Linked DNA regions of Neurospora crassa OR74A. The protein of the gene in region 2 purifies or fractionates together with the protein of the main gene of each other region. This does not show direct contact. Links are inferred from orthologs where the notes say so. Each region holds a gene or a part of one and is shown on either strand. Other genes may lie near its edges. The genes, in order: NCU02967, NCU05363 and NCU11053.

Region 1 (3,276 bases), on a different chromosome or scaffold from region 2:
ACCCAAGCAGGAAGCAACTCCCTCTTCAGTCCCACTACAGAATCCATGCCTCCAGTCACACCCTCATCCGCGATTCACCAGACATCAGACGCAGGTGGCGCACCCGAGATCCAGCACCCACGCGCTGGGCTCCATCGTTCCGACACGGGCTTCGACAGCGTCGACTCGTCCTCCTCTCCACACAACGTATTGCAGGACATGGTCTCCGTATCCACCATCGCCGCCGGGCCCTCGGTCCAGCTCGTGGAGCGCATGAGTGCCAAGATCCGCCAGCTTGAGAGCGAGAAGGTGACGGTGCGCGAAGAGCTGGCACGCATCTCCAAGCAGCGGGACGAGGCACGGGCGGAGATTGTGGCGCTCATGGGCGAGGTGGAGAATCAGAAGAAGGCGGCTGAGAGGGTGGCTGAGCTGGAGAGGCAGGTGGCGGAGGTGAATGAGCGATATGAGACGACGCTGGAGCTGTTGGGCGAGAAGAGCGAGGAGGTGGATGAGTTGAAGGCGGATGTGCAGGATTTGAAGGACATGTATAGGGATTTGGTGGAGAGGACTATGAAATGAGGTCGTGAGTGGTGAGTGAGAGGGGACGGACTGGGTAGTGATTCTTGCATACATAATAAACTATTCAAGATGGCTGGTAATGAAAATGAGTTGTCGTGTGGGTATGAAGGGAAGGGGACTCTAATGGACATGTGACTAAGGATGGCTTTCACTAATATTTTGGATATTGATGTCCATAAACCTTGGTTTAGCCCATAGCATCACTATCTCGTATTCATCGCCCTTTTTTCCGGAGCAAATTAAGTCAACGCTCGTTCTCCTCATCGTGTCATCTTCGCCACACGTACCCCCAACCTGCACCTGCAAACGGGGTAACCTAAAGCTCAATCCCCTCCTTCTCGGCCTCTTTCTCAATAAACCTCCTCACATCCTTATCCGGCGCCAAGTCCAATGCCAAATATCCATCCATATCTTTCTTGTCCGTCTCCGCCCCGGCCTTCAACAACGCAACAGCCGCATGCCCATGTCCCTCGGCCACCGCATGATGCAGCGGCGTATACCCCGCGTTGTCGCTGGCATTAATCGGCGACTTGTGCTGCAACAAAAGATTGATCATCGGCACGGACCCAATAGCCGCGGCGCGGTGCAAGGGGTATTGCCCCCGTTTGTCCTTGACCCGGACCGAGGCAGGCTTGGGTTTCATGTCTGGAGACAAAAGCTTACGCGCGAGGTCAATGTTGTTTTTGGAAGCAATGAAGTGTAGGGCGGTTTGCGATTGGTGGTTGGTTTGGTTGATGTCGGCGCCGCGGGAAAGGAGGAGGTCGATTATGGCGTCGGAGTCTTTGACCGAGGCGGAGATCATGAAGGGGGTCCAGCCCATGTCGTCCTGGTTGTGTGGTGTAAGTTGTAAGTGCTGAGTGAACAGAGGGAAGGGAAAGGAGAAAAAAAAAGTGAGAGTTCCTACCTCAACATCGGGATCAAAACCCTTTTGGTTCACGAGTAGCTCAACGACTTCCTTGCGGTTGTAGGAACAGGCCCAGTGGATGGGGAGACGGCCATCGTCGTCCTTGCGTTGAGCGAGCTTGGGGTTGGCCTGGTTGTGTGTTTAGTCATTTTGCAAGTATACGTATTTTTGAAACGACATCTCACTCACATTGAGGAGAGACTCGACGATGGACGCTGAGATTGTGAAAATGTCAGTATTCAGTCATTTCGTGGATGGTTTAACGAGTGTCCTCAACTGCTCAGCTTGAAGGGTTCTGGAGCTTTCTATGCTCACCTTTACCATCCCTAGCGGCAGCGTGAATTGCAAACTTGTCTTCTGCCATATTGATCAAGCAGATGGATTACTCAGTAAGAGAGGCCTCAAAGTCAATCAGAAAGTCGATTGAATTGAGTTCCAAGGATTTGTTTGATATGGTGATGATGCTGTTGCATGAGTTGAACGTCATGTAAGTGATGCCTTCCCCCGGGAGCTTCCATGAGGTGTGTGAAGTCCGAAAGAGGCACACAGTGTGAGCTCGACTGTGTTTGCCAAGACGCTAAATGTGCTAAAAGATGTGGCCCAAGCTCCCCCAAGCCAGGACGTCAGCAAAAATTCCCAGCCGCGTCCAGGCCGCGCCGGTGGCGCTCGTCGGTGCTCAGCACACTGTATCACTTTCATCACGCACTGCATCCAGTCTTCAACTTCAACTTTGACATCAAGTCAACAACCACGGCTCGAATTCGGATTTCATCACAACAACCGACTCAAAACCCCCTCCGGCTATATTGAAGAATAATTCGCACAAAGAACCCAAACGACGAAACGACCCTACCTATCCGACATCCGACCCTTAAGATGGCGGCCGAGGTTGCCAACAGCGCCGCCAATGGCTCTGGCCCTGACACCAACCCGCTCTCGACCATGATCCGCGAGAACGCTAGAAAAACGAAACTCATCTACGCCGCCACAGCCACAACTACAGATGCCTCTGGCACTTCCGGGAGAAAGCGTCTAAAACTCGACCCTGGGCTTGCGTCAGAAGATCCCGACATCACCAAGACCGGCCTATCTCTCCGTCTCCACGCCGAGTACAGCGACGTCCAGACCCTCCCCGAAGCCATTGCCTCCAAGTTGCCAGCCGGCGGACCACGCAAAAAGAAGGCCAAGCCAGCCATCGAAGAGGCTCCCTCAAAATCCGAAGAACACGCCCGCAAACTCATCGAGGGTATCCCACCGAGCAAGTCCGCCGCCGCCAACTCGAATGCTCTGGTCCTGTCGCGCAGCAAGCCCGGCGGCGCTGGCGCGTCGTCAACCAGACCAAATGCGCAACGAAACGAGCCCCAAACAAACAGCCTGGCGCGGCGATCCGACGTGCTGGTACAGCCCAGGCCAGATTGGCACCCACCTTGGAAGCTTCTCAAGGTGCTTTCGGGCCATCTGGGGTGGGTGCGTGCCTTGGCAGTAGAACCGGACAACAAGTGGTTTGCCTCGGGCGCAGGCGACCGCACTATCAAGATTTGGGATTTGGCGTCAGGAGCGCTGAAGTTGACTCTTACCGGACACATCTCGACGGTTCGCGGATTGGCCGTGTCACCGAGACACCCATACCTGTTCTCGTGCGGTGAGGATAAGATGGTCAAGTGCTGGGATTTGGAGACGAACAAGGTTATCCGACATTACCACGGCCATCTCAGCGGTGTTTATACCCTTGCGCTGCATCCTACACTGGATGTTTTGGTAACAGGCGGTCGCGACGGTGTCGCGCGTGTGTGGGATATGCGGACAAGAAGCAA
Region 2 (3,754 bases):
CCATCATGATGCCTCGATCCTTGGCAAGTATTGGCGCATCTGGAACCAAGACGGGAACGGCGCGAGGGAGGATTTGATGTGACCGCCGCGTGCACCGGTTGGCCAGCACGGTTCGCTGCCATCATGATGTGGAGGGTGAGAGAAGGCAAATGGTCTCTCCCGGTCGACGCCGGTCTCAGGTCATCATGGACCGTGATGGATGACTGATCCTAGGTTCACCACCAGGGTGGCCGGGCTTCGGTGCCCTGCTTGGCTTGCCGGGTTGACAACCCCCACTCCATCAGCTGAGCTGATATCGCAGGGCTGCCTCACTTCTCATCAGAGGTATATATTGAGTATCACCATGTTGAACCGCGGCGGGTAAGAGGAAAGCACGGTGTAGCATGACTGCGACGGGTATAAAAACGGGTATACGTACGCACTTCAGGACGGTATGCGTAAAAAAATGATTGGTCATTCTCATGGTGGAATAGAGTTTCCTATGCCAAGCGACCGTCCTCTCTCTCATTCACCGAGACTCAACCTTGACTTCGAACCACAAAAATGGTGATCAGTGTTATTTCGGCTTGGAGAAGGCAAAAACTATCTCAGTCACACTGGAGGGGCAAGTTAAGGATCGCTCATATAAGAAGCCACCTGATACCTTAGCTCCCTAGGTAGCCGCCTGAAGAAGGGGTATGTAGCTGAACGACGGGCAGGCTCATGGAAATGAAACATGTGCAGTGTGACATGTGCAGTGCGCCCTCCCTTCAGTCCCATCTATACAGGCTGACGGGCAGTTGGAAAGCTTGAGTAGGAGAAATGAGAATGGGAACAGTAGAAGACAAAAGTAAAACTTGAAAGACGCAGTGCAGAGCGAGTCCTCTCTTATGCTGGATGACGAGCATCTGCAGGGAAAGGTGAGTATGCGTGCTGGTAGCAATCGTGACGGGACCGCGCCGGAGCATGACGAGGACTTTTTTGGAGTTTGGCGAGATTGGATACCACAACCCAGCACTGCACTGCAGCATGTGGAGTCGACGACGCAGCTGGAAGTGACATCATTTCAAAGGGCATCCATCTTCACCTTCAAAGCTCCCCTGCAAGTCTGGAGCCACGAGGTCACGTGTAACCCATCAAAGCACGAGCCTCTGCCGTTTATCGGTACGTACCTTATCCTGACATGGCGCTCTGATACCTAGTCTAGAGGCGGGAGCTGAGTCTTGGCATTGGGAGCCGGCCGGGTGTGTTGCGTTGACCTGAAGCTGCCTGTCTTCAGAAGGTCACCGAACGCCATCACCACCTCCACCCGGCCATTTCACCACCAGTAAACATCACCACCGCAACCCGCCACCACGATCGAGTGTCTGCGCATCGCAACACACAACTAATCTCGACGAGCAAGCGACGACCGAATACCGACCACGCACCCAAGGGCAAACCTATCCCACCTTACACAAAACAAACAATCACTAATCCCCCCCCGCGAGAGCTCCGTCTCTCCCCCACACGCCGTCACCATGGCGCTCGACAACTATTATCACAACAAGATCGAGGCCATGAAGCTCGAGATCCTCAAGGGCCAAGCCGTCCTCCGCCGTCTCGAAGCGCAACGAAATGACTACAACTCGCGTGTGCGCCTGCTCAGGGAAGAGCTCGGTCTGCTACAACAGCCCGGGTCCTATGTGGGTGAGGTCGTCAAGGTTATGAGCACAAAGAAGGTCCTCGTCAAGGTACACCCTGAGGGCAAATATGGTATGCGCACTCCGCCTCCTTCTGGAGTGTCCTGTTTTACGGATGGGTAAACAGATGGAAGTAACTGACCTATTGCCCCGCCGCCTACCAGTTGTCGATGTATCCGACAATGTCGACATCACCAAGCTCACCGTCGGCAAGCGCGTCACCCTTCTCTCAGACTCGTACAAGCTCGAAAAGATGCTTCCCTCCTCAGTAGACCCGCTCGTGTCCCTCATGATGGTCGAAAAGGTGCCCGACAGTACTTACGATATGATTGGTGGTTTGGACCAGCAAATCAAGGAGATCAAGGAGGTGATCGAGCTCGGCCTCAAGCACCCCGAGCTGTTCGAGTCGCTAGGTATCGCCCAACCAAAGGGTGTCCTGCTCTACGGCCCTCCCGGTACCGGCAAGACCCTGCTCGCCCGTGCCGTTGCCCACCACACCGACTGCAAGTTCATCCGTGTCTCGGGTTCCGAGCTCGTGCAAAAGTACATCGGCGAGGGTTCCCGCATGGTACGCGAGCTGTTCGTCATGGCGCGCGAGCACGCGCCCTCCATCATCTTTATGGACGAGATCGACTCCATCGGCTCTTCGCGTGTCGAGGGTTCGTCTGGCGGCGACTCCGAAGTCCAGCGCACCATGCTCGAGCTCCTCAACCAGCTTGACGGTTTCGAGCCCACCAAGAACATCAAGGTTATCATGGCCACCAACCGTCTCGACATTCTCGACCCCGCCCTCTTGCGCCCTGGCCGCATCGACCGCAAGATCGAGTTCCCTCCGCCGAGCGTCGAGGCCCGTGCCGACATTCTGCGCATTCACAGCCGCAAGATGAACCTGACGCGCGGCATCAACCTGACCAAGATCGCCGAGAAGATGAACGGGTGCTCGGGCGCCGAACTCAAGGGTGTCTGTACCGAGGCCGGCATGTACGCCCTCCGCGAGAGGCGCGTGCATGTCACACAGGAGGACTTTGAACTGGCCACGGCCAAGATTCTGAATAAGCATGATGATAAGGAGGTGTCGTTGGCCAAATTGTGGCGTTAAGTCTGCCCGGGGAGGGGAAAAGTGAAGGAAGAGTGGTGGTTTCATGCGTGCAACGATATGATACAGAATACAATAGTACTTTTATGGGAAAAGTAACTGACTCAGCTTTTTTTTACTTTCCTTGGTGCATCACTCTCAAGACTGCCTTTGTCGTCTGCATAGGCTGTCTGAAAGTGTATCGTTTTGTACATTCCAAGATTGAAAGCGGTCCTTGGCAACAACGGAGTATACCTACTCTCTCCTCTAGCGGAATCAACAGAATGGAGATGCAAACATTACCGTTGACTTTCAGACGTATCCTGGGCCCTGTTGCCGCCTTGACTCTGCACTAGGTCATTACCGGATTTCAGAACAACGGTCACACGAAGACGAATATCATGCCGAAACTGAGAGTAAATTGTGCATTGGAATGGCGTCGGTCTCTCGAATGTCAAATGGTTATTTGTAAGCTGCGTGGCCATCCGTGAGGAAGTGGCGAACCCTCATAGTATCTTGAACTACAGTTTCTGTCTTTCAGGGACAACTACAACCTGTAAAGCCGCGCCGGCACGAAAGACAAATACCGAGACGAAAGGATATTGTGCTCCAAGCTACTAACACAAAGTCCCAGCCAAACTCTCACGAAACCGCGCCATGCAAGAACTAACTTACAAACCACAGACCAAAACGAGACGCCTATTCACATGCAAGTTTTCAAGTACTCCAAACACCAGCAGCAGTAATACTTTGAGCGAAGTTCAGGTGATGGCAAATGGTTCATGGTAATGGTAACAATGGAAAACGACAGGAAAAGTGCAGAGAAGGGGGTACTGGGAAACTTGAGGTATACGTAGACAAACGTACGACAACGACAACAACAACAACAACACACACCCAAAAAAAAAAAAAAAAAAAAAAAAAAAGGCAACAACAACGTAACAAGATGATGACACGCTCTCCCACCAACCGGCCAGCCAACCCAAAAATATGCTAGTAGTAGTAATAGTGGTAGTAG
Region 3 (3,502 bases), on a different chromosome or scaffold from region 2:
TCGATTAAAGTTATTAGGGAGGCTAGTAAAAAAATATATCTTCTCTTCTAACTTCGAATTCTAATATTTTAACTAATAGCGAATATAGCCAATAATTATCTTAATAGAAATAAGTTAGGAATATAAGTAACGCTAATTATAAGGAGTATATTTTAAATAGGAAATACCTTACTTATATACTAAATAAATTTATAAAATAGCTTTAATTCCTTATAGCCCTATATTTCCCAATACATTCTAGCCGCCTATTACCCAACTAATTATAAAAATTATATTAATAAATAATAATTACCATTAATTAGGTTATAGTAATATAATTAAAGCCGGGGATAAATTATAGATAAATCTATACTTAATAATTCGCCTAGCTAAGGGGACTTTATCCTATTGAAGGCGGATTTAAAATAAAAGGTTTATAACTTCTTCGTCGACTATAGGTATAAACCCTTATTTATACACCTACTAAATTCTATAGTCTAAATATTTACAATATTTAATACCAATATATTTGTATATAGTATAATAATAGATAGCGTTATTCAAATAATTAGAGGAAGTTTCCTTCGCAAGCATTTTCCTTGCAATACAATATTGGATCTAGGATATAAGAGAGTAATTAGATATTAACTTTATTTAAATTACTATTTTATTTTAAAATACTACCGTTACATACCTCGCTCTATAGAGCCTTAACCTAATCTTCGGTTAAACTATTAATATTTATAATATATACTATACTAAGAGTAGAAGACTTAGGGTATTTTAGAATAGTAATTATATAGTATATTATTTCGATAAAAATGGAGTATTAATTGATATTATTAAATAAAATAAGCGTTAGGCCTATAGTTTTAACTTTTATATAATTAATATTATAGGATTAATTATTAATTAATATAGGATATATTTAAAATATATTAATAAAGATTTATTAGGAAATTATTAAGTATTATAATATTAAGAGGGGTTATATCCTTTAAATCCTTTAATTTATTAAATTCGGCTACTATACTAATAATTTACTATAATTCGAATATAATAGACGGTCTATTAAATACTTTATTATTCTATTTAATTAAATTAAGCCTAGTAATAATAGTTAAAGTATTAGCGTTAGAAATAGGGTTAGTACTTATTTTATATTAAATATAATAAATTAGAGATTAATTAGGGATAGATTACGTAGGTGTTATTACGAATTGTTGTGGAAGGTTTACGGAAGGGTGAGTTCGGGCTAATATTATTTGGACTTATATATTTCTTATTTGTAGGTAAGTTTCGTTTATTGGGATCAAAAGCGCCGGTTATTTCTCTATAGGGAAAGTTAAAAGGTATGTATGCGACGTATTAAAGGGGTGATAGTTAATTGAGAGATTTTCTATAGTGTGGGGTCGGTCTTAGCGTATCCACTTGGGTTAGGAAGCTTTGGGTATGGGGTCGGGTTATGTGAGTACTCTACAAAGTACCTACCTAGGTAATTCACGAGCCAGCTAGGTACATACATACTCCAATCTGAGATCGAGATCTCATCATGCTTGGTGATTTCCACAACTGAGGCTTACCCTTTATAAGATATTACGAAATTACAACCCTTCACCATGAGCAATCTTCATGCGCCTACTGTCCCCTCGGGACCGACTTCTGCCCCTGTCACCAACGGCAGTGCTGCCCATCTATCCTTTGCTGAGCTCCAGCGCAAGAAGGATGCTATCGAGGGGGAGCTCAAGGCGCTCAGCGGAGTGCTTGATTCGGTTGGTCCAGTTTATATCCTTCGAGCCTTCATCATGCCAGTTGACTGATCAAATATTCCAGCACGGCGTTGACATGAACACAAACCTCCTTACTCCCGATGGCTTTCCCAGATCAGATATCGATGTTGCGCAAATCCGCACAACAAGGTCGCGCATCATCCATCTTCGCAACGACTACAAGGAGCTGATGGCCTTGATCGAGAAGCGTCTGCATGAGCATTTCGCCAGCATCCAGGACGACGACGAAGAGTCAACACCTGTTCCCACGGATCAATCCGCACCGCTGCCAGACTCGGTACCCGAAGTCCTGGAGCAGCCATTTGCCAAAGTCAACAGTGTCGTTGATAACAGTCCGGCGGCCACAGCAGGTCTCAAGGCCGGTGATCTGATTCGCAGCTTTGGTTATGTCAACCGGTCCAACCATGACAGCCTAAGGAAGGTCGCAGAGTGTGTTCAGGGTAATGAAGGGGTAAGTCGTGCCAGGCTCTGTCCATCCTCAGTAGTTGCCAACCTAGAGAAAGCTGAGCTAACCGGGTATACTTCGTAGCAAAATATCCTCGTCAAGGTCTCTCGGAGCACGGCAGGGACACGAACCCAAGAGCTTCGGCTAACGTTGACTCCTCGCCGCGACTGGGGCGGTAGAGGTATGCTTGGATGCCATATCTTGCCACTATGAAAAGGCAACCGGGGCGAGATGATGGCCTGGAACTAGGCAGAAGAAGATTGTGATACAAGAGTAGCGTCATTGGGCACCAAATCCGCTCAGATATGTTAGGGAAGAATCAGGATGCGCCATTGCCGCCTGGAAATGAGGCCTCTTTGGGAATTTGCTTTGTAATGAAGGAAACGACGGATCTGAGACTGACTGGCATTCGAAAGATGAACCAAAAAGCCAAGACGCCAGGGGGTTCTCCCTCACCGTAGTAACGAGGCCAGAACCAAAACAAAACAAACGAGCTTGAACGAGCAAACCTGATGACAAAATGGAAAAAGAGATAGATGGATAAGGTCGATGCCATGAGAGTGCGCATTCACTGTAGCCCAACGCTTGAAACCTCTGGTAGGTTCAGTTCTTTGTTCCCGACACGCGACTGTCAGCACGTCAGCACGTCAGGAGCAGAAAATAAGACACGAACGGACGGCATTGCGGCAAGACGGAGTGAATGGCAGCCTCATCGATCGGTTTGACTTTGCGCGCATCAGGTTCGTTGCCTTCAGTTGGTTGAGGGTACCGCACTGACCAGGCGGGTCACGTGCCCGTCACCTAACAAGCACCCCGCCGCCCAACGAGTTTTTCGTCAAGGCTGGTGGCCCATTCATTCCCTTGAGCGGCGGTGCCTTGAAAACACAACATCATCCACCAGGCTGTCTGAGGTCCACTGCTTCCTCTCTTTTTGACCACACCCATTTTCCCACCCTCTGCAAAATCGCAAAGGTGCGTCTCTAGTTCGATTTGGATCCCTCCCTCCCTCGCCCTTATTTAACCATTCGATACCCCGCCCATCTGTGTCGCTCCGACCGGTCGATAGCTGACTTTCCCAAAAGGACTTGTTTACCTGCTTCTTTTCGCCTGCGATATTAAGCATCATACACAATGGCTGCCGCGACCCCTACTTTCAAGCTCGTCCTCGTCGGTGACGGTGGTACCGGCAAGGTCAGTCCACATCCCACCCTCCGCGAACATGGACGGTATCATCATCAAACACCATCGGCGCTCCAGTGTATATCGCTGTGCTGCGGGGTGGTGTTGG

The links.
Region 1: the proteins of NCU05363 (region 2) and NCU02967 purify together in Saccharomyces cerevisiae (affinity purification with mass spectrometry; 7 studies listed by BioGRID, with this or other methods). This does not show direct contact. The link is inferred for Neurospora crassa OR74A from reciprocal best matches to the Saccharomyces cerevisiae genes RPT6 and NAS6.
Region 3: the proteins of NCU05363 (region 2) and NCU11053 purify together in Saccharomyces cerevisiae (affinity purification with mass spectrometry; 5 studies listed by BioGRID, with this or other methods). This does not show direct contact. The link is inferred for Neurospora crassa OR74A from reciprocal best matches to the Saccharomyces cerevisiae genes RPT6 and NAS2.

What each region holds. Positions count from the first base shown.
Region 1 is NC_026501.1:8,551,708-8,554,983, forward strand, and holds NCU02967 (ankyrin repeat domain-containing protein), read right to left. Parts: upstream 1,972-3,276; 5' UTR 1,827-1,971; coding exon 1,778-1,826; intron 1,678-1,777; coding exon 1,652-1,677; intron 1,592-1,651; coding exon 1,463-1,591; intron 1,385-1,462; coding exon 875-1,384; 3' UTR 591-874; downstream 1-590. Other genes in the region: NCU02968 (hypothetical protein), read left to right, coding at 1-558; NCU02966 (pre-mRNA splicing factor prp46), read left to right, coding at 2,339-3,276. UniProt on the Saccharomyces cerevisiae protein: Acts as a chaperone during the assembly of the 26S proteasome, specifically of the 19S regulatory complex (RC) and appears to have an overlapping role with RPN14.
Region 2 is NC_026502.1:1,421,697-1,425,450, forward strand, and holds NCU05363 (26S protease regulatory subunit 8), read left to right. Parts: upstream 1-1,199; 5' UTR 1,200-1,499; coding exon 1,500-1,734; intron 1,735-1,825; coding exon 1,826-2,760; 3' UTR 2,761-3,529; downstream 3,530-3,754. UniProt on the Saccharomyces cerevisiae protein: The 26S proteasome is involved in the ATP-dependent degradation of ubiquitinated proteins. The regulatory (or ATPase) complex confers ATP dependency and substrate specificity to the 26S complex.
Region 3 is NC_026501.1:9,335,753-9,339,254, forward strand, and holds NCU11053 (26S proteasome non-ATPase regulatory subunit 9), read left to right. Parts: upstream 1-1,454; 5' UTR 1,455-1,598; coding exon 1,599-1,751; intron 1,752-1,812; coding exon 1,813-2,220; intron 2,221-2,298; coding exon 2,299-2,427; 3' UTR 2,428-2,921; downstream 2,922-3,502. Other genes in the region: ran (GTP-binding nuclear protein GSP1/Ran, variant), read left to right, coding at 3,346-3,405. UniProt on the Saccharomyces cerevisiae protein: Acts as a chaperone during the assembly of the 26S proteasome, specifically of the base subcomplex of the 19S regulatory complex (RC).